Linked DNA regions of Caenorhabditis elegans. The protein of the gene in region 3 purifies or fractionates together with the protein of the main gene of each other region. This does not show direct contact. Each region holds a gene or a part of one and is shown on either strand. Other genes may lie near its edges. The genes, in order: Y57A10A.5, C04E7.3 and sdf-9.

The links.
Region 1: the proteins of sdf-9 (region 3) and Y57A10A.5 fractionate together in Caenorhabditis elegans (co-fractionation; one large-scale study listed by BioGRID). This does not show direct contact.
Region 2: the proteins of sdf-9 (region 3) and C04E7.3 fractionate together in Caenorhabditis elegans (co-fractionation; one large-scale study listed by BioGRID). This does not show direct contact.

What each region holds. Positions count from the first base shown.
Region 1 is NC_003280.10:12,150,804-12,158,355, reverse strand, and holds Y57A10A.5 (SPK domain-containing protein), read right to left. Parts: upstream 3,871-7,552; 5' UTR 3,845-3,870; coding exon 3,693-3,844; intron 3,650-3,692; coding exon 3,536-3,649; intron 3,487-3,535; coding exon 3,208-3,486; intron 3,165-3,207; coding exon 3,051-3,164; intron 3,004-3,050; coding exon 2,806-3,003; intron 2,745-2,805; coding exon 2,174-2,744; intron 2,116-2,173; coding exon 1,891-2,115; intron 1,847-1,890; coding exon 1,784-1,846; 3' UTR 1,544-1,783; downstream 1-1,543. Other genes in the region: Y57A10A.4 (SPK domain-containing protein), read right to left, coding at 4,020-4,158, 4,209-4,862, 4,913-5,155, 5,204-5,305, 5,355-5,543, 5,593-5,706, 5,750-6,031, 6,080-6,193 and 1 more.
Region 2 is NC_003284.9:343,263-351,091, reverse strand, and holds the start of C04E7.3 (uncharacterized protein), read left to right. Parts: upstream 1-3,874; 5' UTR 3,875-3,897; coding exon 3,898-3,955; intron 3,956-4,791; coding exon 4,792-5,210; intron 5,211-5,816; coding exon 5,817-6,926; intron 6,927-7,829.
Region 3 is NC_003283.11:20,794,957-20,803,004, reverse strand, and holds sdf-9 (Protein sdf-9), read right to left. Parts: upstream 4,788-8,048; 5' UTR 4,734-4,787; coding exon 4,698-4,733; intron 4,653-4,697; coding exon 4,562-4,652; intron 4,072-4,561; coding exon 3,730-4,071; intron 3,244-3,729; coding exon 3,148-3,243; intron 3,104-3,147; coding exon 2,646-3,103; intron 2,054-2,645; coding exon 2,039-2,053; 3' UTR 1,798-2,038; downstream 1-1,797. Other genes in the region: Y44A6D.5 (Branched-chain-amino-acid aminotransferase), read left to right, coding at 63-94, 201-297, 346-537, 774-1,046, 1,094-1,197, 1,247-1,654, 1,706-1,781. UniProt on the Caenorhabditis elegans protein: Together with eak-4 and phosphatase eak-6, negatively regulates dauer larva formation downstream of insulin-like receptor daf-2 and in parallel of age-1, pdk-1 and akt-1.

The DNA.
Region 1 (7,552 bases), on a different chromosome or scaffold from region 3:
CGTTCACATCTCTAATATACTCTTCATCGTCACTTTCAGATACTCGTGCCGGTGAATGATCAATACTCGAATTATCTGCCACATCTTGACTATCGATTTCATCACGTTCGACATCAATCGGCAGAAGCACCGGCTCTTCGTCCACCGCTCCGACATCCTCCACCTCATCGTCGTCACTTCCGGATGAAGCATGCATTGCAGGATCAGCAGATCTGAAAATTAAATGAATAGACTGTGTGAATATTCGTGTCAGGATATACTTTTCACTTCTCGCTTTTTTCGGAGATTCCACGCCATCCTCGTCACTGCCACTTTTGTCAGAGGATTTCGAGTCGGACTTTCTGAAAAACCAACGTTTAATAACCATTCTTCCTATATCGAACAATGAACCTTCCGCTATTTCTTGTAGACTTCGAATCATTCGTACTACTACATTGGTGGTCTATCTTTCGATAAAATGCCGCGCTTCTTTTCCTTCTCGCCGAATGACTAATATCTCCTTCCAAATTCAGCTTTCCATCAGTTGAGGTAAACTTGGAAATTCGGTTCATCTCATCCAGCTTAACATCTCCTATTGTTCTGATTCTGTAAAGCAAATATTCGAATTTTCAAAAAAGAACAAGTTCATACTCTTTCAGAAAATCATCGGTGACTTCGCCAGCAAATCCAAACATGACACGAACACGTTCTTCGATGCTGTAGTTCTCCAGTTTAGCCATACTCGGTGCCACATTTTTGTGAAAACTAAACAAAACATCTTAAAGTGAAGCAGAAATAATATTCTCACTGATTATAATAGGCATGTTCCGGTAATCCTCCATCTTCGCTTTCACTGAATTCTCTGAACGCTGCACTCGCCAGCATTGGCTCAATGATGTCCTTCGTTTTTTCAACAAGAAAATTCATCAAATTCATCAAGCTCGGGACTCTCATTGACCACTGCCTTTTGATCCTCGCCGAGGGACTGTGATCTCCTTCCAACTTCCACTTTTATCATGAGAAGTAAATTTGCAAATTCGATTTTTCTCATCGAGCTGAACAAGGCCTTCTCTTTGAATTCTGGAAATTTCAATCATTCGAGAAATTCAAAAAAGTCCACGTTCTTACTGCTTCAGAAAATCATCGGAAACTACTGCAGCGAATCCAAAAATGACTCGAACACGCTCCTCAATACTGTATTCCGCAAGTTTCGCCATATTCGGTACTAAATAATTGTGAAATCTAAACCAAAAGTTTTAAAGAGAAGCCGGAAGAATCTGCTCACTTGGCATAATGAGCGTAATGCGATAATCCATCATTTTCACTTTCACTGAATTCCGTGAGAACCTTCGCTACCACCAATGGCTCAATAATATCCTTCGTCTGATCGACTGCAAATCTCATCAGCCTTGTTAAACTTGTGTGGATGAGGGCCATTGTGCAGCTCCAAAGTAGAAATTAACCTGAATATGAGAATATTTAAATATTGGGAGAAATTAGAAAGGAAGTATTCGTGAATGAAATCAACACGTGAATTATTAATTAATTAGTATTTCGATACTTTAAACAAAAAATTTCTTCGAAAAAAAAAGAACAAAAAACCGATAAAAAAAATAAATAAATTACTAACAAAAACGTATCAGAACAATGCAACACAGGGAAATTTCAAGAGCAAATAAAATTGCAAATCAACGATATTTTTCTACAGGAAATTGTGGAAATTACAATTATCAACGAAAAAACAACAGAACAATGGAACAAAGGGAGAAAATGGACAGATATAACAAAAAGAAAATAAAAAAGTTCAGTGAGAAATGTTGAAGAGCAGGTTTTGGAGAGATTGACGAACGTCGCTGTCCAGAAGAATCTGCAAACATTTTTAACCATATTTATTAAACGGATTCGAAAAACCTTCTGTGCCAATTTCGGCTCATCCATTTCGGCTTGAACCTTCCGCTGAAGCTCTATAAGCTCTGAATTGTCCAATCCGAGAAGAAATAACTTGAATTTAAGCAGGAAATCCTTCGCCAACATATCAGAAGAAGTCGAGTTATAGGAAGAAACTGATCTGATTTTTCTGCTGATCCCGAAGAAGAATGACTCCAGCATTTTACGAATATCAGTGATTTGCAGGTTCTGAAAATCGAAAATCGATATTCAAAATTTCGTTCTTTAATGAGAAATGTCTATTTACCTTATCATCATCCGTTCCAATCGATTTTTTGATTTGTTTCTTGATCTCAATGAGCTCTGTCCTTTCGAGAAAGCAAATGAATTCGATCACTTCTTTCAGGAAATCATGCATATAAATAGCTCTTGATTCAGCTGAAGTGGCTCCATTATTCGTGGGTACACTGAATTGCTGACGTTCGAAGAATGGAAAATCAACTTTTATTTCAGAAATTGACGGATTGTTGCTGACTTCTCCATTTTCTCGCAAATTATTAATATTCAAACTGTGTGATACATCTCTATTATTGGTTTGATCAAATTCGAAATCAATCGGTTCAGGTTTTGGCTGGCCTTCCACCTCGTCACTTTCGTATGGAGGATCCTCAGGAATTGGTTGATTGTCGTCATCTACCATTGTTTCTTCATAGTTTTGCGAATGATCGATATGGAAATCATCAAAGTGTCTATGTTCTGGATCTTCGTTCACTGCTCCAATATACTCATCATCGTCACTTTCAGATGCTCGTGCTCTTTTCGGAGATGTGGAATACTCGTCACTGTCACTTTTGTCAGAGGATTCCGAATCCGACTTCCTGAAAACCAAATGTTTAATAAATGTTTAAATAGCAATTATTTCTAAATCAAACAAAGAACCTTCCGCTTTTTCTTCTAGTATCCCTTGAATCTTTCGCACTACGACGACCGCGATAAGCATTTCGATATGCTGCCCATTTTCTCTTCATTCTCGCCGCATGACTGTGATCTCCTTCCAAATTCAGCTTTCCATCAGTTGAGGTAAACTTGGAAATTCGTTTTCCTTCATCGAGCTCAACATCTCCCAGTGTTCTGATTCTGGAAATTAAAGTTGGGAATTTTCAAAAAAGAGCGCTTGATCATACTGTGCCAGAAAATCATCGAAAACTTCCGCAGCGAATCCAAACATGACGCGAAGACGTTCCTCAATACTGTAATCCACAAGTTTTGCCATATTCGGTGCTAGTTGATTGTAAAATCTAAATCAAAAGTCTTAAAAAGAAGAAGGAATGCTCTTCTCACCGTTTATAATAGACTCCGTCCGTTCGTCCTTCTCCTTCAAGCTCACTAAATTCTCTGAATAATTTTGTTGCAACCACAGGCTCAATGGTATCCTTTGTCTTTTCAACGAGATAATTCATAAATCCAGTAAGTTCGGCAGGAGTGACTCTAATTGGCCACTGCTTTTTAGGTCTTGCAGAAATATTGTGATCTCCTTGCAATTTCAACTTTCCATCATACGATGTAAATTTGCAAATTCGTTTTCCGTCATCCAACTCAACATCTCCTATTGTTCTGATTCTGTAAAGCAAATATCGGAATTTTCAAAAAAAAAAGTGCAAGTCCATACTGTGTCCGAAAATCATTGGAAACTTCTGCAGCGAATCCAAACATGACTAGAACTCGCTCCTCGATCCTATATTCCTCAAGTTTTGCCATAATCGGCGCCAGATATTCGTGAAATCTGAACGAAAAATCTTAAAGAAAAGCAGGAAGAATGTGCTCACCGATTATAATAGACGTTACACGATAATCCATCATTTTCACTTTCACTGAATTCTGTGAGAACCTTCGCTACCACCAATGGCTCAATAATATCCTTCGTCTGATCGACTGCAAATCTCATCAGCCTTGTTAAACTTGTGTGGATGAAGGCCATTGTGCAGCTCCAATGTAGAAATTAACCTGAATATGAGAATATTTCAAAGTTGGGAGAATTTTGCCAAAAAGTATTCGTGAGTGAAAAATACACACAGATAATCAATAAGCATTTTGAGACTTTAAACGAAAATTCTTTCATAACTTGAACAAAAAAGGGAGAGAATAAATAACAATTATGAACGAGACAATAACAGAAAAACGTAGAAAATGGAGAAATTTTGCAGTAAAAAACAATGAGAACTATTCGAGTTATTTAGAAATTGTGGAGAGTAGGTTTTGGAGAGCTTGGCGGATGTCGCTGTACATGAGAACCTGGAAAATAATTATATTCTTAAAATGCATTTTTCACAAATTCGATAAACCTTCTCTGCAATATCTGACTCGTCAATTTTCTCTTGAACACTGTGCTGAGCTCCAGAAGCTCGGAAAAATCCAATCCGAGAAGGAAGTACTTGAACGTGACCAGGAAATCTTTGGCCTTCATTGTAGAATTATTCGATCCAGTTGATTTGATTTTTCGGCTAACTCCGAAGAAGAATGCACCGAGAACTGTACGAATATCAATGATTTCTAATTTTTGAAAAGAGGAAATTTTTCCCTCATCAGCCATCACTTCCTTGATATTTCGCTTGATCTCAGCTAGCTCCGAACATTCGAAAAAACAAATGAATTGTGTCAGCTGTTTCAGGAAATCATGCAGAAATATGGATTTCCATTCAGCTGAAGTGGCTCGATTTTCCGCGGAAAGACTGATTTGTTGATGTTCGACGAATAGTGGGACATCAACTTTTCTTTCAGAAATTGACTGATTTCTGTATTCTTGATTTCCTTGGAAATGATCTCGATTATTGATTTGATCAAATACGGATTCAATCGGTCCCGGCTTTGGCTGTCCCTTCACTGCTCCAATATACTTCACCTCCTCATCGTCACTTTCGAATGGAGGATTCAAAATCGGTACATGAGGAATTGCGACTGCAGCATCAGTAGTCTCTTGAGCAATCGAAGCGGAGAGCCTGAAAAAAAGCATAAAATAAAATTAGTAGTAAATTCACAATAAGTTCACTTTTCTTGAATACGTCCGCTCATTCTTCTTCCTTGGTGGCTCGAATTGGCTGAGTATTGAGGATCCTCAGGAATTGGTTGATTGTCGTCTTCTACCATCATTTCTTCACCGTTTTGCAAATGGCCGATATGAGATTCATCAGAATCAATCGGCAGAAGCACCGGCTCTTCGTCCATCCCTCCGACATCCTCCACCTCATCGTCGTCACTTCCGGATGAAACATGCATTTCAGGATCAGCGGATCTGAAAATTAAATGAATAGATTGTGTAAATATTCGTGTCAGGATATACTTTTCACATCTTGCTCTTTTCGGAGAATTACCATACGAAATTGCAGATTCCACGTCATCTTCATCACTGCCACTTTTGTCAGAGAATTCCGAGTCCGATTGTCTGAAAAACTAATGTTTAATTACAATTCTTTCTATATCGACCAATGAACCTTCCGTTTTTTCTTCTAGGCTTTGAATCGTTCGCACTACGACAATGGTGATCAGTCTTTCGATAAAATGCCGCGCTTCTTTTCCTTCTCGCCGAATCACTGTGATCTCCTTCCAACTTCAGCTTTCCATCAGTTGAGGTAAACTTGGAAATTCGTTTTCCATCATCCAGCTCAACAAGTCCTTTTGTTCTGATTTTGTAAATTACAATCCGGATTAAAAAAAAGAACATGTTCATACTGTGCCCGAAAATCAGCAGACACCCTTCCTGCGAGTGCAAACATGACTCGAACACGCTCCTCGATACTGTATTCCTCAATTTTAGCCATATTCGGTGCCACATTTTTGTGAAAACTAAACAAAACATCTTAAAGTGAAGCAGAAATAATATTCTCACTGATTATAATAGGCATGTTCCGGTAATCCTCCATCTTCGCTTTCACTGAATTCTCTGAACGCTGCACTCGCCAGCATTGGCTCAATGATGTCCTTCGTTTTTTCAACAAGAAAATTCATCAAGCTCGGGAGACCGACAACAACTCGGACTCTCATTGACCACCGCCTTTTCATTCTCGCCGAGTGACTGTGATCTCCTTCCAACTTCCACTTTCCATTATGCGAAGTAAATTTACAGATTCGTTTTTTCTTATCGAGATGAACAAGGCCTTCTCTTTGAATTCTGGAAATTTCAATCATTCGAGAAATTCAAAAAAGTCCACGTTCTTACTGCTTCAGAAAATCATCGGAAACTACTGCAGCGAATCCAAAAATGACTCGAACACGCTCCTCAATACTGTATTCCGCAAGTTTCGCCATATTCGGTACTAAATAATTGTGAAATCTAAACCAAAAGTTTTAAAGAGAAGCCGGAAGAATCTGCTCACTTGGCATAATGAGCGTAATGCGATAATCCATCATTTTCACTTTCACTGAATTCCGTGAGAACCTTCGTTACCATCAATGGCTCAATAATATCCTTCGTCTGATCGACTGCAAATCTCATCAGCCTTGTTAAACTTGTGTGGATGAAGGCCATTGTGCAGCTCCAATGTAGAAATTAACCTGAATATGAGAATATTTCAAAGTTGGGAGAAATTTGGTAAAAAGTATTTTGTGAATTGAAATTTCATAACTTTTCATAACTTTCTTGCAGAACAAAAAATGGGGCAATAACAATTATGAGCGAAAAAATAACAGAAAAATATAACAAATTGGGAAGTTTTGCAAAAAAAAAACAATGAGAAATTTTCGAGTTATTGAGAAATTGTGGAGAGTAGGTTTTGGAGAGCATGGCGGATGTCGCTGTACATGAGAATCTGGAAAATAATCTTATTATTAAAATGCATTTTTCACAATTTCGATAAACCTTCTCTGCAATATCTGACTCGTCAATTTTCTCTTGAACACTGTGCTGAGCTCCAGAAGCTCGGAAAAATCCAATCCGAGAAGGAAGTACTTGAACGTGACCAGGAAATCTTTGGCCTTCATTGTAGAATTATTCGATCCAGTTGATTTGATTTTTCGGCTAACTCCGAAGAAGAATGCACCGAGAACTGTACGAATATCAATGATTCGAGAGATCAGCGGAAAGTTTGGCGTTCGTTGGGCGTTTTTGTGCTGCTTTGGAAGATTTACAGTAGATTCCTTCCAACGAAAGTTTTCCTTCATTCGAAGTATACTTGGAAATTCTTCCGAACTCATCCACTTGAACAGTTCCCGTCGTTTCGATTCTGAAAACTAAATTCGTAAATCTGAAGGTTAAATCTCTCCTTACAGTTCTAAAAAATCATTCGACACTGTTGCCGACAAGGCGAACATCACTCGAATCCGTGACCCGATACTGTAGTTGTCCATTTGATCCATGATCGGGACCAGATTATTTTCAAATCTAAATGAATAATTTTGGAGACGTAAGTCCAGCAGACATTTCTCACCTATTAGCGTAAGCCGTTGCACCAAGCTCTGAACCTTTGAGCTTAGCGAATTTTCTGAATACTGTCGTCGCCACCAGCGGCTTGACGGCACCTTTTGTCAGATTGACTAAAAATTTCATCAATCTTTTCGATTCCGCCTCTTTGAGGACCATTGTGCAGATGGAAAGTCGAAATCGACCTGAAAATTAGAATATATAAATATTAGGAGAAATTAGAGAAGACATATTCGCGAATGAAACAGAAACGTGGATTATTAATCATAATTT
Region 2 (7,829 bases), on a different chromosome or scaffold from region 3:
ACTCGTTTTTGACAATTTTTTTTTTGTTTCTTGGCTTTTCTGTAGCCTCTATTTTTACTGCACCGCTTGCTTTTTTTTTGTCTTTTTTCTGGACTTTGAACGGAAGTTGTGCTGTCTAACTTCAGAGTCTGTTTCAGAACAGGGCGGTAAACAATTTTTCCCGGCAAATCGGCAAACTGCCGGAATTGAATATTTCCGGCAAATCGGCAAACCGGCAATTTGCCGATTTGCCGGAAAAACGGCAATTGCCGAAAATTGTCGGCAAATTACTGGAAAAAATAAACGCTTAATTTTTTCTGATTTTTCAAAGGCTATTTTGTCAATCATCAATTAGTGTGAGACGTTATCATAAAAAACAACGGAATTATACAAAAACACAAAATTAAAACGGGAAAAATTTAAAATTTACAGTAGTAAGTTTTGTCGTGGTGAGACCTATGCTTCAAAACAGTGGCCCTCCCTTTGATTATTTCCGGCAAATCTGATGCCCGGCAAACGGCAAATCGGCAATGTGCCGAAAATTAAAATTTCCGGCAATTGGCCGATTTGCCGAATTTGTCGACAAATCAATTTGCCGAACGACAATTGCCGCCCAGCCCTGTTTCATTATTTAATTAAAACTTATGCTTCGTATAATTTTCAAAATCAACATTTAACTATATACTTTATTAAAAGTAAAGTTTATCAGATAAACTCTTAGTTTTTCGTTCATTTCAATGTTCATCCCATCCAATTTCAATCAAAATGATTCCGTATTCTACTTTTGGCTGATCTCACTTGCTTCGAAAATTAGAAACTTGCATTAATTTCTACAATGAATGGAGAAACCGTTGTATGTTTGTCACTTAATGTAATTTTTCTCATTAATAATGAATTAAAAACATCTCACGTTTCAGAAAATATTTTAGCCAATATTTTCCTTCGAGAACACATGCATTAAATACCAAAAAGTAGGACAACTCCAAATTGATTTTTTGAAATTATTACAGGAATGTTTTTGGAAAAACTCCCCTTCACCTTTCCGGCTTATAACGTCAATATAACTGTTGTTCAATAAGATAAAACATTTAAATTCAATAATACAAAGATAACCTGTCAATTTGTTTGATTTTGAAAATATAGATATAGAAGATTTTATTTCAACTGGAGGAAGTACGATAATTTTGAGTTCTGAAAAAGAAACAATTTTTTTAATCTTTGCTCATTTTAAACTAATTTACCCTTAATAATTTATTATTTATTTCGAAAAGTAAGTGAATACAATCAAGTGCAAATCAGAAATCATAAACACATATTCAGCTTGTTTTCGAACTGAAAACTATAACTTTGTTCAACACTTAAAGGTGGACTACGCTCTGTGAAGAAATTGCTTAAAATTCCCATGGGGTCACAATGACCGAATATCATGATTGAAAAATTCCAAAAAATTTTCTAGATTTTATATGATTTTTTAAAAATTCGAAAAATCTCAGTTTTCACCTAATTTGTCGCGAAGTTTTTCTCGGAAAATTTGAATTTCCCGCCAAAAAGTTTTCTCAGAAAGTTTGAATTTCCCGCCACAATATTTTCTCTGAAAATTTAAATTTCCCGCCAAAATTTTTTCTCAGAAAGTTTGAATTTCCCGCCCAAATGTTTCTTCTCAGAAAATTTGAATGTCCCGCCAAAGTTTTGGGTCTCACCACGATGGGTCTCATCTAGATGGGTTTCGCCACGACGGGTCTCGACACAATGGGTCTCACCACGATGGGTCTCACCACGATGGGCCTGACCACGAAGGGAGACGGACCCCGCCAACAGTTCTTAGTATAGTTGGGTGTGAGGTCACAAAAACAAACAAACAAACGGTACGGACAGGAAAAATAAGCTGTATTTTTTTAAAAATATATAAGTAATGATTTCATTTATTCTCATTATTCCACTGTTTTTCTTCATTTTTTGTGTTTTTTAAATGGAAATTGAATCGAAAAAAAAACAAGATAAATGCAGAATGTGTGCTAAAAAGTCATTGAAAGTGCATAAAACTGTGAAATATACTAATTTCATGCTTGTTGTCGTCGAAACTTATAATTTTACTGTTTTACGCATTTTCAATTACCTTTTCACAAGCATTCTGCAGTTATCTTGTTTTTTTTCGTTTCAATTTTCATTTAAAAAAATATAAACAAAATGAAGAAAATCAGTGGAATAATGATAATAAATAAAACTAATGAATAAACAATGCAAGCGCGGTCCTTCGAATGAATCAATTGGCGGAAATATAAATAGGAACTAGGTGAAAACTGAGATTTCTCAAATTTTCAAAAATCATATAAAATCTAGATTTTTTTTCGAATTTATTTATCATCATATTCGGTCATTGTGACCCCATAGGCATGTTTTAAAGTAATTTTCCCACAGCGTGTAGTCCACCTTTAACGGGTTACAGGGTGGTCCATAATTATGGGAGCGTTGTTGTGCTCACAAAATCTCTATTTATGCTTGCTCTACAACTTGAAAGACACGGATTTGATATACATATTTTTAATAGCTGAAATATTTTCATATTAGCTGACGTAAAACACTTGTTGGTTCGTTAAGTAACGAAAGCCTGACAGCGCCGTCAAAGAAGCAAATGCTCTTACAGAAATGCTTTTTTTTAATATAGAAATATTTTGCAAATCAAACGGTCAATTTTTCAGTGGTTCACGTGCTCGCTCTTCGTGTTTAATGGCAATCGATATGACACTGAAAGAGAGTGCAGTAAGCAAAGAAACGCAAGAAAACGTGTTGAAAGGCTGGAGACGCAGCCGGTGAAGCGACTTGATGTGTCCTCTCTATCCGGCAAATTTATGGTCTCGCCGCCTTGGTCTTTTCCTTTTCTACTGTTTTCTATGCTTTCTTCATTCCGTTAGTCAAATGATGTTCAAAATCTTTTGATTGCAAGCACATCTTTAAAAATTTAATTTTTCTGCAAACATCGATTTGTGTAATATTTTTTGAAAATTTTGTTTGGTACTTGTGTAGTATAACTAGTCAACAATTTTTTTTTCAACACGTTTTTTATCAATTTTCTTTCAAAATGATAATTTAATTAAAAAGTGAAATCGATTTGCATTTTTAGGCTTAAAACAACACTAATCCTAATCCAATGTGTGCATTTTGGAAAACATTTTTTTCGGTCGACTTCCAAGTTTTGAGTGGCGAAAGCTGAGTAATTCTTACATTCTGACAGTAAATAATAAATTTCCAAAAAAATTGATAAAAAATGTTATGTGGGCATTTTGGCCCAACTAGAGTAGTCAAAAAACTTTTCCCACTGGCGCTACTCTACCTTTAAATTCACAAAAACCTAATGGAGTCATTCAAGTAATGTTGCAAAATGTACATATTTAAACCCATTAATGGCGTCACAACTGTATTAAAATACATGCTTTTTAAGTAGTCTCGGCATTCAGAGGCAACTTCCTGCCACACTTTGGCAACTTATTTAGTGCCACTAAAATAAGTTGCCGAATTGCTGGCAGGAAGTTGCCGAGTTGTTGGCAGGAAGTGGGAAAGAACGCTCAGCAACATCTAAATGTTGGCAGGAATGTGCAAAAGTTTGGCGGGAAGTTGCAAGTAAGCAAAGTTTGGCAGAAAGTTGCCTCTGAATGCCGAGGAGCGTTCTTTCCCACTTGCTGCCACTACGTGGCAACTTCCTGCCAACAACTCGGCAACTTCCTGCCAGCAATTCGGCAAATTATTTTAGTGGCACTAAATAAGTTGCCAAAGTGTGGCAGGAAGTTGCCTCTGAATGCCGAGGTATTCTTTCTTGACTCAATCTTTTTCAATGTTTGTTATTCTACTGCAAGAGATCTTTTAATTGCTTTTCTGCGTTATATATTATAACATATTTTTTTTAGATATTCGTAAGTCGAAATGAATGTAAACGACCCACCTGATATACGGGCTATTCCAAACTTTACAGCACAAACTGGTAGGTATTTTTTTGTTGGAAAATTCTGGTCTTAAAATTAAACAGGGTAACAAAACATTTAGGGTCACACCAGGGCTAGGACCAAAAAAAAAAACCAAAAACCAAAAATTTGGAATTTTCGGAAAACCCAAAAAACCAACCCAAAAAAAAACCAAAAAATTTTTGATGCTTAAGTTCATTTTTAATGGCGTTATTCAAGTAATGTTGCAAAATGTATTAAAATACATTTATGACGTCACAACTGTGTTAAAATACATGTTTCAATGTATTTTAATACAGAATAGTCTCGAGTCGAGACTAGACACGGTAAACATTTGTTTTTTGGATTTTTTGGTTTTTTTGGTCCCAAAAAACCGAGAAAACTAAAAAATCGATTTTTCGTCAAAATACCAAAAAAACCAAAAAACAAAAAACAAAAAAACCAAAAAATTCCCAGCCCTGGGTCACACGTCATGAGTTTTTTGTTGCATTTCATTTTTTTTAGATAAACTTTAGAAAATTGCAAAATTCAAGCCTTTCTAATTGAACATGCTCATTTATTTGAACAATATTTGAGATTTTTGATCATAACTTGAGTTTTGCTCATACAGTTTTCAGAGCAAACATTACCATCACAAATTTTTGGCATCCTAGCCCGGAAACAATTTTCTGGAGCTTCCTTTAAAGTTCTTGTGCTGATTTTGCTTAGTTTAAAATAAAATGCAAACTCACAGAAAAGTTGAAAAAATCAGTTCACAGTTTTTTTTGCGGTCGACGAAAATCTTTATGAAATTAATAGGCGAACATTCCTAGTTTTTGAATGCAAAATAACAAACTTTCATACAAAATATCTGCAGATACTCCCATAATGTCATCGCATGATTTTACGCATCCAGTGCGCTATACAAATAAGAACCAACCTGGAAGAAATTCACTGTCAAGACATGAATCGGGAGACAGCTCAAGAAGTACGCAAGGACATGCATCGTTGCCTCGCAACACAGTAGGACCGCCTGATCCCAATGCTCTGTCCCCGGAGGGGCTGGTTTCAAGGCCGCTGAATACAGGAGTTGGGCCCAATCAACAAGTTCAGGAACAATATAATGCTTTTTCGAATCAAAATGAAAATGATAGAAAAATGATGGAAGATCCGAGAGAAAGTGCGGTTCCGAATAAACGAGCCGCTGCAGCTCCACCTTGGATTGGTTATACCCAAACCTATCAAGGTCAACAAAAGTATCGCAATCCTCAAAAACTTCAACAAAGTACAATCAAGGTTAGAAATTTAGTATTCTGTGTAGCTTATTTCATGTTCATCTTACAATTAGTCTTTTAAATTCAACGACGAAAGCATAGGTAAGTGAACTAGGCAACAAGGAACAAGTTGATCAAAAAACAACTTTTTGGGGGAATACATATCATATTGACAAGTCAGTCTAATTTCAAATTTTAACTAATTTTAGGCCATTTTTGAGCCTTCATAACTTTTTGAGAAGTTTTCAAAAAGTTTCATTATGAAATTCGGTGTTTTCAGAAAATTTTGAGTCTAATAAAGCAATAAAAAAATTCAACTACACCACCTTTAACAGTAAAACAATACAAACAATAAAAAAATTGTGGACGCGTGAAAAAACAATTTCCAAAAAAAAATTTCTATGAAATATACTTTCTAGCAACTAGTGAAATGCTCTTATCTTCTATTATCTATTTTTTGGTGTTTAGCGTATTGTATGTTTTTGACTTTTTTTCTGTGTTCTTATCAATACGAAAGTCGTATAATTAGGGCAAAAATCCGAGGGTTTCCGGTATGCAGCGCAGTAGCAGGCGCCTGAAGATTTCATGTTTTGCCTACCTGTAAAAAAGTCATACGCCAAATTTTCAGAAGCGACCAAAACCGGAAACAACTTCCGGACCAAAAAAAGCTTCGAAGCCGACGTCTTTGTCAGAACCTAAAAAAACAGAATGCTCCATCTCAGAGGATGAGTTGTTATCAGCAAGTTTAGCTGAACGTGTCCAAGCAGAAGTCTCCGAAAATGAGCAAATCGAGAATCTCACTGAATGGGCGCAAGCCTACAAACAGAAACAAGAAAAATCAAGTGAAACAAAAAGAAGGTCCCGTAAAACTGCACATCGTGAAGAAGAGCAGAAGTCAAAAATACTGACTGTTCCTATAGGATCATTAAGTGAAGATCAAGCAGTGAAACAATTGAAAGAATTGACCAAGGAGAGGCGAAGGGACGATGCGTTAGTGGCAGAACCCTCAGCAAAGAAAAAATGGCAACAAAAAGAAGTGGAATCAAAGAAAAACGAGGGGACATCTTTTGAAAAGGTCTCAGATCAAGTGCGACTAAGAACAATGATTGAGGATCTGGTATTGCAAAACGAAAATCTTCAACCAGTGGAGTGGAGTGGATCTGAAATGGCGTTGAAAAGAGACAACGACCGATACCAGAGACGAAGCCAACTGAAAACTGCAAATAATCGGGAGCTGGCCAAAAAAATGATGAGCATGGAAAGAAATGAAGTTGATTTTTTGAGAAATGCAAGATATAGTAAACACGGAAATTTGAAAGTCTGGAATCAATTCAAATCACTTGTTAAAGCTAATAAATTATTAGAAGAGGAAATCATCAACCAAAAGTGTCAAGAACTTCACGAAATAAAATTTAAAACCGCGGCAAAGCCCAGCTTGGCAATTGAAAAGTCAACACCAACATATCTTGAAAATATGCTAATTGTGGACGATCAGGAGAAAGTCAAAAATATCGATATTTCTTATCTTTCGAAAGTTAATCCATCTCACCATTATCAATGGGGAGAAGCAAAGTGGAAAAAGATTGAGCCCCTGCTGGCAGAGTTGAAAGAAACAGAAAATGAAGTGAACTGCTATTACGAGAATACAATGGGGCATGATGTTCCCCAAACTTCATTAAAGACAGTGGATAAGATTCTGTGGCATTTTGAACATAAGTATGATGCTATAACTTGCACGGTAAGATTTTGTAAAAATAAATGTTCTGAGGAAATTTGAATTCCCGCCAAAATTTTATGAAGAAATTTGAATTCCCGCCGAAATTTTTCTGAAGCAATTTGAGTTCCCGCTAAAATGGGTCACACCACAATGGGTCTCACCACGTTGGGACGTCACTGAAACAAACGGACACTATTTTTTTTTACGTGTCTATGATTTGATGAGAACTGCGGAGACGCCTGCGTCTCTTTTCTCCAACGCCCCCTCGCCATTGACATTTTGAGATAGCATGCGAGAAAAAGTGACGCAAATGCTTTTTGCGCGTAAAATATGGCGACATTTACTCATTATTCCATGGGCAGGAAATATATATACAAGTAATGACTCAAAATTGTCTGAAAACACGAAATTTCATAATGAAGCTTCTTGATAACTTCTCAAAAAAATGTTATCGCGGTTCAAACAATTACCTAAAATAAGTTAACATTTGAAATTTGATCAACTTGTCAGTGTCGCCGCGGCTGGAAACTAACTTTTTTGAAATCCCCGTCGGATTCTTGGTGCCGAAGTTGATTATTTTGCGTTTTCAACTCGACTTACAAGACTTACAAGTCGACTTAAAAGTTAGATATTTTAAATTCGATGGATGAAGAGATGGTAAAACATTTAAAAAAATCTCTTTGTCTATCGGCTTTAAAAAATCTAAATCGAGTTGAAAACGTGAAATAATCAACATACGTACCCAAAATTAGACTGTGATTTCAAAAAAAAAAACTAGTTTCCAGCCGCTGTTACATTGACAAAGCGACCATATTTCAACTTTTAACTAACTGTAGGTCATTCTTTGATCCGCCATAATTTAAAAAAAATATAAAGTTCCATTATAAAATTCGATGTTTTCAGGCAACTTTAAGCCTAATGAAG
Region 3 (8,048 bases):
CATTAATTATTATCGATTTTTACTCGTTTTTTCTCGAGTTTTTGGTGAGAATTTGAAGCAAAATGCAGAAAATATCGTCTGGTCTTCTGAAAAGGTATGTAATTTTGAGTTTGAATTTCGATCAGATTTTTTAATGGAAGTTTGAAATATGAACATTTTCACAACAATTTCTGAATGTGTTCTTCACAAAAAACTTTCAGATCTTTCATCTCTTCATCCCTCAGATGTACTCACAGCTTCCAATATGCAAATTTGGTGGTCGAAAAAAGCACCAAAAAGCAACGAATTCCTAGTGATGTAAGCATAAGTGGAGGATTTATTTTCTTGAACAACGTTTATTTTCAGCCAGCAAAACTTGGATTCGGTCGCTACTTTTCCGACCATATGATTGATATTGATTGGGATGTGAAAGAGGGATGGATTGCTCCAAAGATCTGCCCATTTCAAAATTTCTCCATTCATCCGGCGGCTAAAGTTCTTCATTATGCGATTGAGATATTTGAAGGCATGAAAGCATATCACGGGGTCGATGGCAAGGTAAAAAGTTTACATTTGATTAGCGCTCCCAGCTGAGTGACTCGCGAAATGCGGGCCTCACGCCGGCCTAATAATAATGATATGCTGGTCTCACGCCGACGCCGCGCGCCGCGCGTCGCTGTGTGTGTGCAATGAAGTAGTTATTTGAAGCAGTGACGCCGTGAGGCTGGCGCGGGCGCCGTTGCGGCAACCTGATGGGAGCCTTAAATTTGATTGTTTTAAAATAAGTTTTTCAGATCCGTCTATTTCGCCCGGAGCTGAATATGGAGCGAATGAGAAGATCTGCTCGTCGTTCCTCGCTCCCAGATTTTGATGCTCGTCAGGCATGTCTACTCATCGATGAACTCATTCGAATCGATGCAGACATTGTTCCGAAAACCGATCAAGCCTCCTTGTACATTCGCCCCATGATGTTTGCAACTGAACAACATATCGGAGTTTCGGAAAGTACACAAGCCAAATGGGCGTGTTTTACATCGATCACTGGTAGTTATTTCAATTATGAGAAAGTACTGTCCTACCAAATTAAAAAACAACACCGTTCTATATTTTGAAGGGTATTCGTCTGTTGGCAGATCCTGAAATGGTACGCTCGTGGAAAGGAGGTGTCGGACAATACAAAATGGGGTGCAACTATGCACCAACTATTTTTGTTGGAAAGTGAGTTAAAGGACCTTTACTAATATTATAATATCATACACTAATTCAGGATGGCTGCGTTGCACGGATGTGATCAAGCTATGTGGCTTTCTGGAGATAATCGCCTGATCACTGAAGCCGGCGCGATGAATGTGTTCATGCTTTGGACAAATGAAGACAATGAATTGGAGCTCATAACTCCACCTACAGATTCTGGTCTTCTTCTTCCCGGGATAACTAGACAGTCTATCGTAGAGTTGGCACAGGAAATGAACCTGATGAAAGTCTCCGAGAAGAACTTCACAATGGCGCAACTGTCACGCGCAGTTCACGAGAAACGAGTTCACGAATTCTTTGTATCAGGTACTGCTGCCAACGTTGGACCAGTCTCTGAAATTGTGTACTGCGATAAAGAACTGGACGTTATGGAGAACTTGCAGATTCCCACATTGAGTAGCAAAATGCAGTTGCACACGAGGTTTGTAATATTTTTGCAAAACATCAACAGTTTTGATAAACTATTTTTCAGACTCAACAAGACGCTTTCTGACATTCACTTTGGGCGTATCGAGAAAAAGGAATGGCAGCATATTGTGGAACTGTAAACTCTTGAACGAAAAACATGATTGAATTATTTTATACAGGACCAAAATTTCATGTTAGCAATTCATATTATTTGGAAAAAAAATTCGCTGATAGTACAAATAAGGAGTACAATAAAAAACCGAGTAAAAAACTCCTGACATGATAGGGAAAATTGGTACATTATACATATAAAAATTATAAATATAGAAATAATAAATGTCGATCAGATTTTTTTTTGAATTTAATTGCAATCAAGTGGTGATGATTTGGCTTTGAATTAAACCACGGGCGGCTGTAAATTTATGTTTTATTATTGCGATCGTATTTTTTCCATAATTGCAGTTTCATGAAATTTTTTTGCATAAAATCTTGATAACAGTTAAATATGAGACTATTTTTCATTAAAGGTTGTGTAGTCAAATTTTTTATTGTTTAATTAGACTCAAAATTGTTTTAAACACAGAATTTCATGACTTGTCAATATCGCAGCGGCTGGAAACTTATCTTTTTTGAAATCATCGTTTAATTTCAAGCATACCAGTTTAACTCGATTTAAATATTTTAAAGTCGATGGAGGAAGAGATTTTAATTTTTTTTTAAACCCAAATCCATCTACTTTAAATTATCTAAATGAAGTTGAAAACCTAAGAAAATTAATTTGTACACCAAAAAAAACGATGATTTCAAAAAACTTAGTTTCCAGCCGCTGCGACATTGACAAGTTGCTCAAATTTTAAATTTTAACTAATATAAAGGAGCTGCCACAACTTTTTTTGAGAGGTTTTCAGAAAGTTTCATCATGAAATTCGGTGTTTTCAGACAATTTTGAGTCTAATAAAGCAACAAAAAATTCGACTACACCACATTTAAACGTTTGCAATTACCATCACGCTACGGAGAAATTTGTTTCTTGAAGACTCATTAAGAAACCATGTTTTCGTGTTGATAAACTTTTCAATTTCCTTGTCCATTGAGCTCCATTTAACAAAGCAACTTTCCGAATAAGCGATTAAAGGTTCTTTAAAATCCTGAAACCTTGGATTTCGTCTAAGAAGATAGTCTAGAACAGCTTCATAAATGAACGAATGGTGCAAAGCCACTGGAACGCAATGAATTCTCATGTGTTTGCACTTCACGATGAGATCCTCCACTGAATACAGATTAGTTTTCTTGCCATCAATCATACGTATGAGAAGATCAATGACAACAAATGCTCCAGCTCGGCTACTTCCTCTTGCACTTTGAATGATTGGAGCAAAAGATGGAGGAGTGTGAATGTACCGGCGCATTGTGGACCTGAAGAGTGCACTTGCTGGATTGATCATATTGAGCGCCCCCGTGTCTGAAACGCCTCATTTAAATAGTTTTGTATTTAATTTCACTAACCTTTCATTACTTTCCGCAAAGCCAAAAAATCTTGCATTATTGGTGTTGTAGTTTCAGTCCATCCAAAGACTGTAAAATGCAGAACTCGGTGAGTTTCTAAAAATAAGTTTATTAGTTCTACCAATGTGCTTAAAAAGGCAGTAGAGTTTTTGGGCATTTTAATTAAATAGACTGGTCCAAAACTACCGAATTTCATACTGAGACTTCTCAAAAAATTTCCAAACTTTGCTAAAATCTAAAATATCGCCCACGTTTCTTTGTTGCAGCTACTGGAATTTAACTTTCCCGATATTATCACACTGTAATCCATATTTTAGTAGTTTATCTCGCGTAAGTTCATTGATTGAGACATATTTTGAGCCCATAGGCATCCAATTTTGATAATTTTTTTGACAAAGAAAAGTGGAGAAAAATTTCAGGTTTTATCAAAATTTGGCTCTTTTTTCCGAAATTTTGACCCGACATAAAACAATTTTGGAAATTTTTTGTGAAGCCTCACTATGAAATTCGATGGTTTGGACCAATTTCAGTATGACTAAGCTAAATACCCACAAACTTTCCTTCCCTTTTAAGGTTTCATACCGTTTCCTTTTCTAAGAATAAAATTCCGGGTGTGAAAGTTTCCCTGATGAATTGCATAACTCTTGCGCTCAACTTGAAGATGCCCATAACTCCATACGTCGCCCTTATCTGGGAAGTACTTGTCGTAATGTTCAAGTTTTTCTTCAACGTTATCCGCGAACTGTATAATCGTCGGAGATCTTTGCTCAAGAACCATCTGCCAAAAAGCGAATACTTTATCTTCCGACGGGATGCCAGTGAGAATATATTTCTGTCCAACATCCGAAAATTCCATCAGTGATGCATTTATATATCCATCCCGATTTAACATTGATGGGGTCAGTCTTACGTTGTATCTGTGCTCTGTACAAAATTTCACATAAGTGGGCAACTGATCTATTATTTGGTGAATTTGGGCATTACTACATATTTTTTACTCGATCAAATTGGTAATATTATTTAAAGGTGGAGCAGCGCCCATGGAGAAAGTTTAATTATTCATTGTAGGGGTCGGAACATGCGAAATTGGATCTCCCGAAAGCTCATATTTTCAAAAATTTGGCAATTTTGCAAAACTTTGACCGGAAATTATAAAAAAATCAAAAAATTTTTGAAGGGTTTTTAAATGATATTTGGTTGTTTTGAATCATTATAAGTGTATTTAGATGAAATCCCAACTGGCGCCCCTTCCCCAGTTGAAGACGGAACCCATTTCTCATTATATTTGTGCTCGGCCAATTTTGAGTAATTTAAAAAGGTAAAACAGTTAATTTAAAAATAATTTAAAAAATAATTTCACAATACATAGATCATCTTAAAACATAAATGTAAACAGTTTTAAAATAAAACTTACGAGGAACAATTTTTACGACTCTATTTCTATTAACAGCTTCCAAACGTGCAGTTACCCTCTCAGAAAGAAGAGGCTGATTGTCGTCCAATTTCTGTAAAACTTTTTACAATCGAACCCACCAATAATTTCAACTCACGTGAACAATGTTGCTTCTGATAGAATATTTTTCCATCAAATAGTTCTTCTCAAATAGTCGCTTGTATATATCTTCAGCTGTGGAGATTTCCTTCATTTTGAAAATAATATATCTAGTCTTAGGGAATCGACGACTATATGTACAGTCCCCGGCCAATCTTTTATTAAATTAAGGGACAAACAATATTCGGGCCCGCCCTGACCTAGACTTGACAGCATCACATTTGGGGAAAATAATTCGACGATATTTTGAAAAACATATCGGAAAAATAATTACGGTATTTGCCATCTGTTACAGTAAATGTTTTTTATAAGAGGAACGATTTTGTAAAAAATCTGTTTTCGGTGGAGTAACACTAGGGATACAGTTAAAATTGTAGTCCCACCTGACAAAATATTGTGAAAATAACAATGTGAAATTTTTTTTTCGACTTCTAAAAGTATAAGACAAAAACTGGCGATTGCCAATTTTTGACCTGATAAACCAATTTGAAAAGGTTTTTGAATAGTACTCCAATGATATTTTTATTGTTTTAAACCTATTTGCATGAGTTGAACTGTTTCCCGCGCCACTTAACATTTAGAAATTTTTCCGAAATTTTCAGAGCTGCTTTTGTCTAAACCACCCGACAAATATATTCTGCGCACTTTCATTTTCTTGTTTCACCACTTCTAATTAGCAGAAATCATTCACCGTTTTTCCCAACTGTTTATGTGGGTGGTGGCTCATAATTTGACCTATTATAAGCACGAGTGCGCACGCGCGCAAGATAGATACAGGCACTTATTTATTGTCAAGAAAACTCTAGTTACTGTTTACAGTCAGTTTGAAATACTATTTAGTGTATAAAACTGGAATTGGATCTTCTGAAGGTGGAGTACCGAAATTGTTATTTTTTATTATATTTAATACGTTTATTTGAACGTAAAAATAAGAGATTTAGGAAATCTGAGAAACATTTTTGAATGACTCCAAATTTTCCGCTGATTCCGAATATCTAACTGTAAGTGAAAAATTCAAAAAAATATCCCCGATGTTATATTTCAGCTTGAAATCGCGAATTTCATTTGTGCACCCATGTGTTTAATCAAACGCCGAATTTTTGCGCCAGAGACGCCATTTGTCGATTTACGAGATTTGTGTAGATTTACGAGATGTTTAAACTTTATTGAATGCTGATTATCGCTTTTCAGCGAGATTCTTTCATTTTCGTCGGTTTTTGCCAAAATGTTTTTTTGAAAATATGTTTTTAAGGTCATTTAAACTTTATATTATCAAAAAACTAACAAAGTTTTCGGTTCTCAGTTGGAAAAATCATGTATTTGGATTTTCCGTCGAGTTGTGACCTAAGAATTGGAAATTTTGTTCTACCTTTAAATGTAAAGTGTGAGTTTGAAATCTTTTCTGACTTGTATAAAATGGTTTTATTTAGGGGAAATCCCAGTTTTCAAAAAAAAACTAACCAACAACTCAGTAAAAAGTTTTCAATCCTTTTTTCCCTAGTAGTCATATGAGTAATTATTTTGAAAATTGTTTGTCATTTTATTCGAGTTGGTATGTATTACAAATATGCACGTATGCACTGCCGTTCACGCTTTTTCCCGCGCACTATAGTAGTACATTCTGATAGTGTGAAAAAGTTGATTTACAATAGAGAAATCGACGAAATATTACGAAACGCAGACTTTTCTGCGCAATTGACTCAGGGCTGACAATAGCAACACCACTTTTGGCTATAAATTTCCTGAAATTAACTGACTTTTAAAGTTAATTTCTTGTTTTGGAATTTGCAATTTTTATTACATAATAATTTTACTTTCGTACAACGTTTTATTTTCTACATCACATAACATGAAATCAATTCTGTGTGCCCTCCACTGCGCACCAGTTGTTTATAAGTTTATAAGCCGGGGGTGCTGCTCGGCAGTTCAATTTTCCAACTAATTTTCATTTTCCCCTACAACGCCTGAAAATTCCGTTTCTTCTTCACAAAACACATGCGCAAACCGCCCGCATGTGTGGCACCTATCCGACTCTCGTCTCTCCCCCTCTCTCTCTCTCTCTCTCTGTCTTGTTCGTTTTTTCTCATTTGGCAGTGTTTTGTTTTGTATATTATGTTGTTTTGTTGTTTGATAAATGTCTTTTTAGTAAGGAAATGAAAGATGGGGGAGGTTGTAACTATACTATACGGGTTTTTAATCAGCCACCTCTTTGTTTGTTGCTGAAATTGGTAGGGTCCTCTACTCGTTTCGTATTGACCCACAGACACTGGTCATCACACATAGTGTTTGTTATTCTCCTTTAAACTGTTTAATTTCTTGTGTTTTTGCTGAAAATTGAGATATCGCATTATATCATACATTATGAGTATCCTAGGCCGTTATAAATTTTTAAGTTAAAAAATACATTATTTAAGTTAATGATAGGCTAAGATTTATAGAAGTAGCACGAAGATCACAATTCATAATTTTCCTATTTTCTATCGCAGTAGAAAAATCCTCGGAGCCCTTGTTTTTATTTTCTTGTGCGCCCCTTTTCTCCATTCCTCATTCTTCCTTCCTTCCTTTTCATCTTTAAAACCTCAAAACTCTTCATCCTAAATACTATCTCGTTTCGGAAATTCCCGTGCTCCCGGGAGCTCCCCGGGAGCACACTCTGTGATGTGAGTGGTCCCTCACGGGGGCAGATAGCTCAGTCGGTAGTGGTGGCCGCTAGCAGTCTGGAGGTCACGAGTTCAAGTCCGTCCTCACCCCCTAGGTTCACCCAGCCTCTATTGGGAAGTGGAGCAATCTACGACTGGATTATCGGCCACAGTCCCCGGCTAGGACGTGGCTTAAATTACAGCCCAGAGGGATCACCACCAGGCAGTGTACCTGAATCCCAGATCCGCAGTGCATAGCACTTGAAGAACGGATCGTCCTTTAATCCTTTTAATCCCCTTTTCTCCATTCCTCATTCTTCCTTCCTTCCTTTTCATCTTTAAAACCTCAAAACTCTTCATCCTAAATACTATCTCGTTTCGGAAATTCCCGTGCTCCCGGGAGCTCCCCGGGAGCACACTCTGTGATGTGAGTGGTCCCTCACTTTGCTCCCGCGCAACTGCGCAATCATCGGCACCCGGGTTTTCGAAAGTGTAAAATTCGCGAAAAGTGGATTCGACGAAGAAGCTGATCTTCATTTCGTTTCTCAACTCTATTCTTATTTTCGAAGTGCATAAGTAATTTTCTTGATTTTGAAACTAGCATTAGTTCAAATAAAAATTAAATTAAGTGATCCATATTATTTTAAACGTGATGCAGTCAAATTTCTTTATTGCTGTATTAGACTCAAAATTGTCTGAAAACACCGAAT